2 linked regions of the Arabidopsis thaliana genome follow. The protein of the gene in region 2 interacts with the protein of the main gene of each other region in a biochemical or structural test. Each region holds a gene or a part of one and is shown on either strand. Other genes may lie near its edges.

Evidence for each region.
Region 1: of the proteins of AT3G45190 (region 2) and MC9, one has a biochemical effect on the other in vitro, tested with the Arabidopsis thaliana proteins (one large-scale study listed by BioGRID).

Annotation. Positions count from the first base shown.
Region 1 is NC_003076.8:1,151,630-1,155,647, reverse strand, and holds MC9 (metacaspase 9), read right to left. Parts: upstream 1,909-4,018; 5' UTR 1,756-1,908; coding exon 778-1,755; 3' UTR 608-777; downstream 1-607. Other genes in the region: AT5G04210 (CCCH-type zinc fingerfamily protein with RNA-binding domain-containing protein), read left to right, coding at 1-69, 158-593; PKS4 (phytochrome kinase substrate 4), read right to left, coding at 3,314-4,018. UniProt on the Arabidopsis thaliana protein: Cysteine protease that cleaves specifically after arginine or lysine residues. Does not cleave caspase-specific substrates. Required for proteolytic processing of GRI.
Region 2 is NC_003074.8:16,542,202-16,550,450, forward strand, and holds the start of AT3G45190 (SIT4 phosphatase-associated family protein), read right to left. Parts: upstream 6,167-8,249; 5' UTR 5,961-6,166; coding exon 5,922-5,960; intron 5,422-5,921; coding exon 5,318-5,421; exon of another isoform or gene 5,060-5,317; coding exon of another isoform or gene 5,031-5,059; coding exon 4,944-5,030; intron 4,832-4,943; coding exon 4,756-4,831; intron 4,642-4,755; coding exon 4,567-4,641; intron 4,445-4,566; coding exon 4,391-4,444; intron 4,049-4,390; coding exon 3,989-4,048; intron 3,912-3,988; coding exon 3,795-3,911; intron 3,402-3,794; coding exon 3,307-3,401; intron 3,226-3,306; coding exon 3,017-3,225; intron 2,599-3,016; coding exon 2,501-2,598; intron 2,351-2,500; coding exon 2,247-2,350; intron 2,145-2,246; coding exon 1,982-2,144; intron 1,703-1,981; coding exon 1,580-1,702; intron 1,227-1,579; coding exon 1,144-1,226; intron 923-1,143; coding exon 784-922; intron 713-783; coding exon 683-712; intron 601-682; coding exon 530-600; intron 436-529; coding exon 1-435. Other genes in the region: AT3G45200 (uncharacterized protein), read right to left, coding at 6,627-7,529.

The sequences.
Region 1 (4,018 bases), on a different chromosome or scaffold from region 2:
TACAAGAGGTACCATGTGTCTATACCGCCATGAGATCAACAGAGGCTTAGATTGTCATGGTCGTTCTGGGTAAGCTATTCTACATACATATATAGATGTATATATATTCTCGAGTCTTTGTTTGTTTGTGTGTTTCATGTATTTTTCTTCACCGCAGGTTAGAAAACCCATTTGTACTCGAGGTGCTTGCAAGAGCTTGTAACACGGGCCCTTTGAAACCACCAGAGGATCAAAGTATTAAAACTCTTTACATCCGTAGACTTATTAACTCCAGTGTCCTCGAGCAGGACATCCGAGACCATTTCTGCCCCTATGGTGAAATCGAATCTATTGTTATCTTCCCCCACCGAGGAGGAGGCACCTGTGCCTTCCTCACTTACACTACCCGTCTAGCTGCTGAGAAGGCCATGCTTGAGCTCTCCTCCTGGACTGACATCAAAGGCCAGAGGGTTAAACTCTTGTGGGGACCTACTGAAAAATGGCAGCACAAAATGACTGGTGCTGCCATTTCTTCAACCCAAGAGGTTGGTTCTTCTAGCTCCAATACTGCTGACTTGGTAACTAAATTAGTACATTCTCTAGAAAAGCTTTAATTAAACCTTTTTGTACCATTAAAAAAGATAAATGTTATTAAACAAGTTTTATATGTCCTTTTTCCTTTTAGAGTACACCACAGAGAATAGAAAATACACACATTCCACCAGTTAACAATTTACAACAACCCCAAAGGCAAACGTGATAAAACAAATAAAAGAAAACAACGCAAACGTTTAAAATTCAAGGTTGAGAAAGGAACGTCGCGTCTGCGTTCTGGTCGCTGCAGTAGAGACAAGGGTGTTGATGAAACCCTAGTCTCTCAAGCACATCCCTTGCCATCATCACTAGTTGCTTGTTCTTCATGGCACCTTCATTTTCGTTCAACACCCTTTGAATCGCGTTGCTAAACGCTCCGTACGCTTTCCCGTTCCCAACGCCGACGTCAGCAGACGTCTCATCCGCCTGACACCCGCTCATCAATATCCCTGAGTCCACGTGTTTTTCACGGGCCGTCATAGTCTCCAAAAGATCCATTAGATCCATTGCCGGTAACCGAAACTTAAGACCAGCATCGCGGCCAAAGAGCTCAAGTAGATGTGTGCCGATGTCGGAAGTTGTAATTCCGGTGAGAGAACTCAAGTGGTCAAGGACTGCCTTGAAGGGCAAGGCACGTGATGTTATAGTCTTGTTCGTTGTCTCAATAGCCGGAGATATGTTGCTGGAGACCGAAGAGGGTCCGATCTGTTCTTTCTCCTTGTCGATGAGACCACCACTATGGCAAGAATCAGAGATCATGGTAAAGCTTGTTCCTTTAGGAAGTTGATTGACCAATTCTCGGAAATCAACATCTGTGATGAGATTGAAATCACAAGGAACAATAGCTTCGTCTTGTTTAAAAGGATGAGCAGATTTAACCGAAGGAATACGAGTTCCATGGCCACTGTAGTGGAAGAACAAGATGTCTCCAGATCCGGCTTGAGCTTTATCCACCATCCTACGTAGAGCAGCCTTGATGTTGGCACCTGTCGGCTTTACCTTTGATTCTGGCTCGTCCGTTAGCACCTCAATGTCGTCTTGTTTGAATCCGAAACGTGACAAAATAGTTTCTTTCATGGCTAGAACATCATTGATGCAACCGTGAAGCTCGTTCCTTGTGTTAGGGTAGTTGCAGCCGACGAGAACGGCTAGTCTTTTCTTGACCATCCCTTGTTGATCCATTGAGTTTCTGGATATGATTTCTTAAGGTTTAAGAGGTAATTTAAACAACTTTCTAGGCAAAATGTTTTGGGGTTTCTTGTGTACGTGTGTTTAGTTTTCATGTGCAGTGTTGTGGTTTTGGAGCTAATGTGTATTTATGATTGAGGTTTCGTGTAGTGAAGTTCAAGTTACATACGATATTAGTATTTATATTTTCAAGTCTAGTTTGCTTTTAAGCTATGGAACATTTTTTAATGGCTTACTCTTGACTTATTAATGCTTTCAAGCAAGAAACTAAACCTTAAATCAGACTTTTGAGAAAGACATAATTAATCCTAAGTCATGGATTCATGATTAATTTGGTTAACTTGGATATATACGTAACTTCAAAAGGGAAGTCATTTTCCCAAATATTTAGACCTAATCCATCTAGCTATCTAAGGGAAGAGAGGAGCTAATTAACTTTAAATGCTATGATATACGAATGTATATAACGTATACATTGTTGAAAATAATGTCAATTGACCAAACTATAATTTGCCTTAATCCTAAAGGACCGTCTATATACTTCGTGCACGCAACGGAAAAGTCTTTTTGAGACGAACCATTTATGCTATTAGCACCATCTTCACTTCACCTACGAGCCTAACTCTTGACTTCATATTTACAAGTTATATCCCCAAAAAAGAAATCAAACTTTCAATGGTAAACTCTTTAACAAAATAAAAAGCATTCAAATTAAAAGATAAAGCTTTTAGTAAACGAAAGACTAATCAGAAATTAAACGTCTTCATCAACTGAGAATTTTTCTTTTTGGTTTTATGTGATAAAAACACATGCTGGATTATGTTTTTAACAAATAAACAAAACTAAATCGATGACCAATACTACAGTCTGTTTATTGCATAAAGTTGTTTATATTCCTATGCATGCATTTATTATCTCTTGGGTAACGGCTTGGAATCATCTCCCAAGTTCCCAACTCGTGATAGATTAAGGAATTGGGGCATGAATATTCTTGAAATTTTTGTCTCCTCTGTAATGCACCTGAATCCAAGAACCACTTGTTTTCTGAATGTACCTACAACAAAGACACATGGGGCATCTTCTTTTGCTCAATTCAGCCCGCCTACAATCTTTGAAGATTGATGTTTCCATGGGACCTCAAAGAAGTAGTGGATGAGGTTTCTAAAGAAAGAAATCGTATAACCAAGTGTTTTGTGGTCCATTGGTTTGTTCGAGTGGATAGAGGATTCGCTATGTGGGTCAAGGCTACGAATCTATTTCTTGACTATAGACGCCTTAAATACAACATACAAGTATTGAGGATTAGTTTGGGTTTCACTCCGGGATTTACTCCGGTTATTACAAAAAAATGTGATCAATATTGTGATAAATACAGGACACATTGATTTTGTTTACTTCACAAACCATAATCTTCATTAATCATTACACAAGTTATATTAACCAAAAAAAAGAAGAAGAAAAAACAGAGCAATTTTACACGAGAAGCATCCAAAACACACCAAGATAACTGGAGAAAACCGGATCTAAACCAAGAACAAAGATTTGGTATCCATCATTGCCTTGGTCTACTCGTCACGCTTAGTTTAGAACTGCCATTGTTGCACAACACCTTTCCCGCGACGTCGTTTTGAACACCAACGCTCTTAACCGGTTGCACTAAACGCTTATCGCCGTTAACCATAACCGCCTTCTCACAATGACAGTTCAACAAACCGGTTCTCTTCTTATCGTAACCACTAAATGCTGTAGACGATGACGACAAGGCAATTCTTGAGAAGTTAGCTGCAACGGCCGAGGCCGGCTCGGCGGTCATAACGCTCCAAGTAACACTTGCTTCGCTTGGCTCGTAACCGTACTCAGACACGGTCTCTTCCATCGAGTCCCGTACTGGTGGAGCCCATGGACGAGCTGCGGTTTGAGTAGAGAAGCTCTCTATCTCAAAAAGATCGGAGCTTGCGTCGCTTGTGGCTTCTTCGTCTATGATGACTCCCTTGGGACTCGTAGGATTCAGAACCGGTTTAATCGGAAGCAGAGCCGGTTCAATTCGTACCGGTTTAATATGATTCAAAACCGGATTCTTGGGATTTTCTGATAATTGTGAAGTTTCGTTTAGAGTTGGGAAGCTAAAATTACTAACTGGAGCTCTAGCTTCTTTGTTTGCAGTGTAATCGATGGACCGAGTCACAGTGTTTGAAGGGATCGTTAATCTTATTGGCTCAGGTGAAGATATCGTCTGATGACTATGAACTATTCGGTT
Region 2 (8,249 bases):
TTTCCAAACAATGAAGGTACAGGCGGTGATCTCGGGCTAATCTCACCTTCTGAGGATGAAGAACCGTTTGGGATTCTCACATCAGGCATCTTCACATCATCTGTACTTCCCGGTGCAATGGCTGAAGATGAATCATTACGTTCAACCCATTCAGGTGACAATTCATCTGTACCCACATCTTCATCAATCTCGATATCAGCGTCTACAGAGACTGCTTCTGAGGTTGAGGCTGTGGCTGCAGTTGAGTCAACAAAAGGGTTCTTGCTTTCTGTAATCAAACAGTCTTCGTCTTCGTCTTCTTCATCTCCGCCATCGGAAGTTTCATTCAAGCTTACATCTTCCATTGCTTCCTCGGAAGAAATCGCTCCTGTTCCTGTGTTTTCGCCTAATTCATCTCCTTGGAACGTGAACCAGTTCGAGTTGGTGAATAAATTGCTGCATCAAGAAAAAAACATTTCATTGGTTTTTGGAGCCCTTTGTTCTTTTCTACCTAATACATGGATTTGATAAACTAGCCCTGAAAGCTTACTTCGCTTGTTCATCACCAAGCCTTAGAGATGATATAACAACTTCAGCAGATTCATCATCAAAATAGACATCCTACAGAATATGTTACAGTCAGGTCTGTTGTAGACGATGTTTTCTATAAACGTAGAACATAATATATAACTATAATGAATACCTCTTCATCTCTGTCATTAGAACCATGCTCCTGGAACGAGAAACATGGAATTTAGATTCAGCCAAAATTTTAAGAAATAAATCAGAGAGATTAACAACTACCTCTCCAGCACCATTGTTCTCTTGCATGTTGTATCTGAACTGGTTCAAGTTATTAGCTAAACCAGCAAGATCATAATCCCTATCATGGACTTCGTCATCATCACTGTCCCTAGTCCTATCATGTAATGCAGTCGGGCGTCTGCATGCGATATAAAGTGAATTATCATTAAGAGACAAAATCGGAACTAGATACTGTGCCAACTATTGTCAAACCTGAAAGTGTTTGGACCAAGTTTCCTATTATATTTCTATGCTTTTACTAAGACAACCTAGCAAATATATTCTGAAAGTGTAAATACTCGACTGATAGTTGCATCAATAGTGTGACAAGAAGCCATAAATGTTTGATCAGAGGTGTACCCGCAAACCCAGCGATACACATTCTCAACTGCATTTCGATCATGCAACGTATTAGCTTCCCACTCACCCCAATCGTTATTTTCCTAACAAAGAAAAACAGAACGTATCAGAATGTTGTATGTACCAAACAAAATGCAGCTATACACGTACACAACATTTGACGTAAAACCATGCCTAAATATTAGAAAGAAAATTAGTTAGACATAGGATATTTCATTATGGACACATCTTGATGGGTTCTGTAAAGAGAATACAAAGTAATTTACACTGTTTTTACTCCAACGAGTACATAACAGAGTGATACAATAGAGTAGATATTGACAAACACCAATAATCACAACTCAAATCAATTTATGTAGAAAGATGGTATACTGCAGATAACAGTAAATCTGCAATCATTGTTACAATAAAAGGTTACTGTTACTGAAAAACGAACCTCAAGTAAAGTCTTTATCTGGTTACTGTTAGTTGACAGCTGAACAAGCTTGTTTGAGATTCTTGAGATATGACCAACATTCCCCACCCGTGGAGCCTGCTTTCCAGCAGCAGCTAATGTTGGCTGCATGAAAGCAGAATCAATTATATCTATAACTCAGTACACCTTATCCTTAAGAAAAGTCGAGAAGTGGATATAACAGGCCATTTCTGAATCTGATTTTAAAAACAAAAAGAAGGTATAACGATAACTATAATTGCTTTGCAAACCACAGAATCCAAATCTTGCCTCACAGAACTGATGACAGAAGTAGTTCAACATCATGTCTCACAGAACATGGTAAATTGTGTATTATCTCTCTAGACAAACTTTACTCATAAGCATGCGCAAAACAATTCATACCTGCTTATCACCAGAAAGAATTGGCTGTTTCTCTGTTTTAATAATTTTTCCAATCAAATCACACTCTCGGAGAAGATGGTCAACTATCTCATCGTTCTTGCTTTCTAAACACGATAAAATTATACTCTCCACCTGATGATGCAGAGCATTATTATACGGGTACCTGCATAGTTGGAATGAACAATTGAAAGATGAATTTAGCCAAGCGCGGAATAACAAAGAATTTAAAATTTTGTAATCGATCCAGGGAGTGGAGTGTATTTACTCAAAGAACAGATCAAGGACTCTTCTAATAGCTCCTGAGCTAGCTAGTTCTTTTCCTGTTGCTTCACTTCGAGTTTTCAGCAAGACAGCAATGAACTCCACAATCTAAGCAAGCCATCAGCAACAAAAACGAAATCAGAATAATATTACACAACAGAAAACACACACAAGAGTATATGTGTAGATCCAAGATCCACCTTATAACTAAACCATCTTCCAGTTGACAATAACTAAAATTTCAAAATGAAACCTGACCTTCAGACGATGACTGCCAAGAGGAGGCCTCAACTGCCCATAGGTTGTAGGTAAAATCTTTTCATCAGAGGTCACATTTAAAAGTGCGACAAAGTCACCTGCACCACAGATGAAAGCCAGGTACGAAATTCAAGTCAGTGGTCCAATCACATAAAGAAGTGGAGTCAAATTTTAAATTATATATGTTCAACAAGAATGAAAGCTGAAATATATCCAGCTAGAAAGATCAAATAATATACGCAGAAACTACTATTAAGAAAATGGAATGATGCACGAAATTGCAGCAATACAATAATAAAGTAGAAGATAATCATTGATTTGCAAACATTTATTGACAGTACAGAATCAGACATTAATCAATGTTAGGATGAACCAAAAAGATAGAATCGAATCCTAGCAATCAGTAAAAGAGCTAATACAAGTGTTCTGATGAAAAATATTCAGCAGCAAAAACAAGAATGATATGATCATATGCACTCATGTACAGAACACAATGTGTCATTTTGTTACACTGACCAAGTCTAGGCAGCATGGTGGCAATAGTCTCCGGATTCACAGAAATTGGAGACTCGAAGATTTGTTGTCCCCTGAATGAATACATAAAGGGGGAAGAAACTACAGATCTTCTTGGGCTCAACAATGAAATGCACACCGAAAGTGTGTGGACAAGGCTAGATTTGGACTGAGGATCTTCGAAAGCATGACCAAATATCCTTGCAACAAAACTGCAAACAAAAAGGTCACTGAATCATCATACAATTTAAACATGTTTTAGCATATTTAAGACAATAAGACATCCTACAAACCTTGAACTAGAAAGTTTGGTAGCCAACGGTGACGGTGCATTTTGAGCGATAGTGCACAGTGTTTCAGCAGCATTTGCATGAACTTCAAGAGAGTTCTGATCCAAGCCAAAAATAAAAACAAAACTTTCAGAATATTCATATCTGAACTATTCAAAATTAGAAAATGTAAGTCTTATTGTTTGACCGAAATAATAACCACACATGCAGAGAAGCCTCTCAACACTACATTTACGAATTTGGTAGTAGGGAATCAAAAACCGCATCACGAATAAAACAGAGATGGCAAATGCAGGAGAGTCTCTCCAACTATTCTCTACTAGTCTCTTGTCTTATAAAGGTAAAACAATGTGCTTTTTCGACATGAAGAACCAACAGATCCCAGTTAATAGTAAAACAATAATAACGAGAAGAACAGAAGTGGCTCAAAAAAGCTCATTCTTCCTATATTTCAATCATTTGATGAATAGACGCTTTAACAAATTACTTACTGATGGGCTAAGCTTATCCACAATCATTTCAAGCAGATTGCTATCAGCTAACCATTGCATCACATCTAGGTGGTTAGGATACACATGATCATCCGCACCAACCAACCGGATAAGAACCTATATAAATCACATGCATAAGCTTACAAGTGATTACCAGAATCAAATATAAGGATAAGAGGAGAGAGAAGGTTTACCTCCATAATGGACGTGATCCCTATCAAATCAACCAGTTGCTGGAAAACATTCTGATGGGCCTGTATATGGTATTGTAAAACATTATTTGCTTCTTTTCTATTGACTGCACACCACATAATTCACTGAGTAACAAGTATAAAAAAAAAAAGGTGCACCTCAATAATATGTCAAACTATTCAAGGATTTTCTACCTAAACCACAACGTCATTTATATCGACATAGTATAATTATCATTAACAGTAGGTCGAAGAAAAATTTATTGAGCACAAAAAATTACAAGGACTGGGAACATCCCACTTAATATGCTTTCTGCCACACAAATTTTATTTTCAATCAGAGCTTCGCATGATCGTTGTGCTATTTGCAAGATTTTCAAATGAACATCCAAATAGAGAACTCACTTTTACATAGTTCATCAGCGGGACCGTCTTCCTCAACATGAGGCATATGACAACCTATTCCCAGAAGAGACAAGATACATTGGTGGTAAGTAACAAACATGTGGAGACATAATATCTAAAAAGTAAGAACTAAAATTCTAAAATGAACTATTGAAAGTGACCAATGAAAACATTACCTTGCTGAAATACCCAGCTAGCATTACACTGTGGGAACGGTTGGGTTCCAAAAAGGAGAAAAGTAGGTTCATTAGCTGCAACAAGAAGTATGAACCATTAAGTGAGACCAGAGTAAAAGACACATCTAACTCAAAATAACAAGGTTCTGCATTCATCATAATAAAGGAAGAAGAAAACTAGGACAATACCTCCTCCTCGTCCACTAAAGTCTTGAGAATTACATCAATTTCACAGGTCAAGACTTCAGAGGAGATGAAAGGAAACCTAATAGAAAAATATGCTTTAAAGTTCATGAAAGTTCCCAGAAATATTCCAAAAAATCAGGTCAACTGTACGTCTGGATAAAGCTAATCAGCAAAAGAAAGGAGGCACATACTTGAAAGCGCGCTTGCTGTCTGCATCTTCAGGAGATTCTTCAACAATAAAACGTAATAACTGTTCCACTTGGGCTCTTTCTCTCAGACTGCAAATGAGCATATAAAATAAAAGCATAAAAGGCCAACATTGCAATCCTTGCTACTACTATGAGAAACTAAAACTTGCATAGCATAACAGGGTCATCCTGCAAAGAAAACATGAATCTAACTACTTTTCGTGCAATATCTGCTGGATTGCATATCCTCTTCAATCTTTTTAAGGAATGGTTAATATAGAGAGAAGACACATGTCATAGTACAAACTAAAAAGCATACCAAATCTACACATAAACTACAACAAGGTTAAAAAAAGAGGACGCCTAAAATGAATTACAAATTTATGAGCCGGCTGTTCAAAGCTCTGCATTCTTGGATTATGTCTTCCTCATCCAAAAGTTCTTCCAAAGTGAAATCTTCCTTGTCTAATATGGATTCAACCTGTCAATCGCAAGTAAAAGATAAGGAACTACATCATTCCTATTTAGTTTCTCTCTTCTCTAAACTACACATTACCAGCTTCCAAGAACAATTTCCATCAAAACATCAATTACAAATGAAGTTTATAAGAGATGATTACAAATTCTAGCTCCCGCCACTATATTGAACAATGAAACCACACGAACCAAACATCACCATGACTATGAAACTATTGGAAGACAAAAATCAATGATACACAATAACAGTGGCGTGAAGAAAACAACAAATTCGAAGCAGTAAATAACATCCGAAATCAAATTCAGTATCAGTATCGAAACAATTAACCTCCACACAATTAATTTACAGGCGAAATCAATCAGTTCAATAACAAACGAAATCTAAAACATTTCAGAAATCTTCACTTTGCGTAAGAACAAAGCAGATTCAGAAAGAAACAATCGATTCAGAATAAAACGATACTAAGTACGAATTCATGAGTAGAGAAGACTTTGTATACTCACCGGTGAAGCAGCAGAGAGAGCAGTCAACTTCCAAAACATGGTGAGGATGATGATGAAGAAGAAGAAGAAGAAGAAGAAGACGAGCTAATTAGATCTCTTATCAGAGCGAAACTCAATCACTAAATCTTAGAGCACTCGTCAAAAAAACTCGCCTGGAAAAAAAAAAAAAAACCCTAATTTGATGCTGGTGGTGAAGAAGAAGAGGCACGAAATGAGAAATCACATAATGTTAGAAAGCATCCAAAAAAAAAAAAAAAAAAAAAAACTAATCTCAGCAAATAAATATATTTAAAATAAAACTATATGAAAGAAATATTATTTGTTTTAGAGTATGATGCTTGTGACTACTAGTTGCACGATTGGTTCGTATTTGAGAGAGATACGAGTGATTAGAAGCTTGGTTTAGTTTGGATTAGTGTAAACCGATTTTGAGGTTCTAATGATGTAGTATATTTTCTTGGTTTAAAGTACTCGCTCCTATTTCTTTTTTATCAAAAAGTTCTATATTGCTAACAAGTGTAACATCTTTTATAATCCCTTCAAATTGAAGCAGCCAAACGTGGTTGGGCTTACATATGATCTTTAATAATTATATATAGACTACAACATAAGATAAATAATTTTAACATTACAATTACAAATGTGTCGAAACGAAAAATAAAATCTTCTTTTAGCTTTGATCGATCAATTAGGTAAGTTTGTCCCTCACTCCCTCTTATCATACTTACGAGCCCAAATGTTCTTTCCGTAAATCATAAGCTCTTTTTTCTGCTCGTCATCGAGTACGCGGTCCACGGTAGTAACCGAGTCCAAGACAAGCCTCGCAAATAGTGATTGTTGCTCGCAGCTCCTATTTGCGTTTGCATTGAAAGATCTTTTGTTGTCATGTTGCATGTAAACTCCCTCAACACAATTTTCTCCATACTCCTTGGTAAAGAGCTCAATTATCTCAGCATGAGTCACTGGATAACCACGAGAAAATGTTAAAAACAAGGTCCGATCGTTCTCAGTGGCGATGCAATTAGCGTTCCAGCCCCATAGACCATTTGGGATGAAAAATAAGTTGTTGTTCTTGTTGGAGAAATTATCCCTATCAACTTCATTAGGCATCACATTGATGCTTCCAAAAATCGGATGAGGGAACCCGGGGATTTGAAGAGGTTGGCGAAGTCTTGCGTCAAAGGAAGACATTGAAGAAGGTGGAAGAACTCGTAGAAGGATGTCGGTGAAGATTCTGGTACAAACAGTGGTTAAGAAGTTTTTGATTCCTGTGATAGCACTATATCGATTTTTGTAGATCATTTGGAGTGATATATTCTTTTTCAGATATTTTGTGGTGAGAGGGATTCGGCCAATTGGGGGATTGTTTAAAGAAAGGCACTGAAAGCATGAGACAGCTTCGTAAGCAAGACCGGCAATGAGTGGATCTGTGAGAGTGAGGATGATTGAGAAAATGTTTTCAAAGCCAAAGTCCTCGAGCCAAAGCCATGTGGCCATGACAAGAAGTGACTCAGCTGGAGGCCTTGAGAATTTGAGGACCAATTTAGAGAATATCTCTCTGTCTTGAGCATGGAAAACATGTAGTTCTTGTGCGTTGAGAAGAGACATAATCGAATTTGACTGTAGAAAGTTTGGTGAATGTGAAAGAAATCTAGAAGTTGTTGGAATGCATTTTATTATCTAATCGCCTCGTTTTATACACCTAAAAGCCCGTGTTTTTAGGGGTTTTTGCAAAAAGAACATAAAAAAAGACCCTCCAACTTGTCATTTTTCGCATCTTAACCCTTATCTCCAAAATGTGCAGGTCAATCCCTTTAAGTTAAAAGTAATACGCAATATAACTCGTTCGTTAATAAATACAAGAATTTGATTGTTTTTATCTAAGCACAAACTAGATATTTTATGATTACTTATAAGTAACAGTTAGTTATGAACATCTTTTTAAGTTAGTTTTGTTCACTTACATGTAATGTGGACTATTACATATTCAACTCAGAACTAAAACAAAATTCTTTTCATGTGATGTGAACTATTATATATACAACTCATAACTAAACAAATTTGAGGACAAAAAATATTATTTTCTACTTTAGTTATTAGCATTGAGTTTTAAGGACTAAACCATAAATAAAATAAAATTTAATATATATATATATATATATCATTCTTACTAAAATCTTATATACCATACACCAAAAAAAATTCTTAATTAAGGTGGTCAATAAGATTTTGTCATGCCTATATACATTGTATGCAATGATAAGATTTTGTCATGCCTCTAAAGAAAATTGTCCTTTCTCATTCCATTTTCTTTCTTTATAATTGATT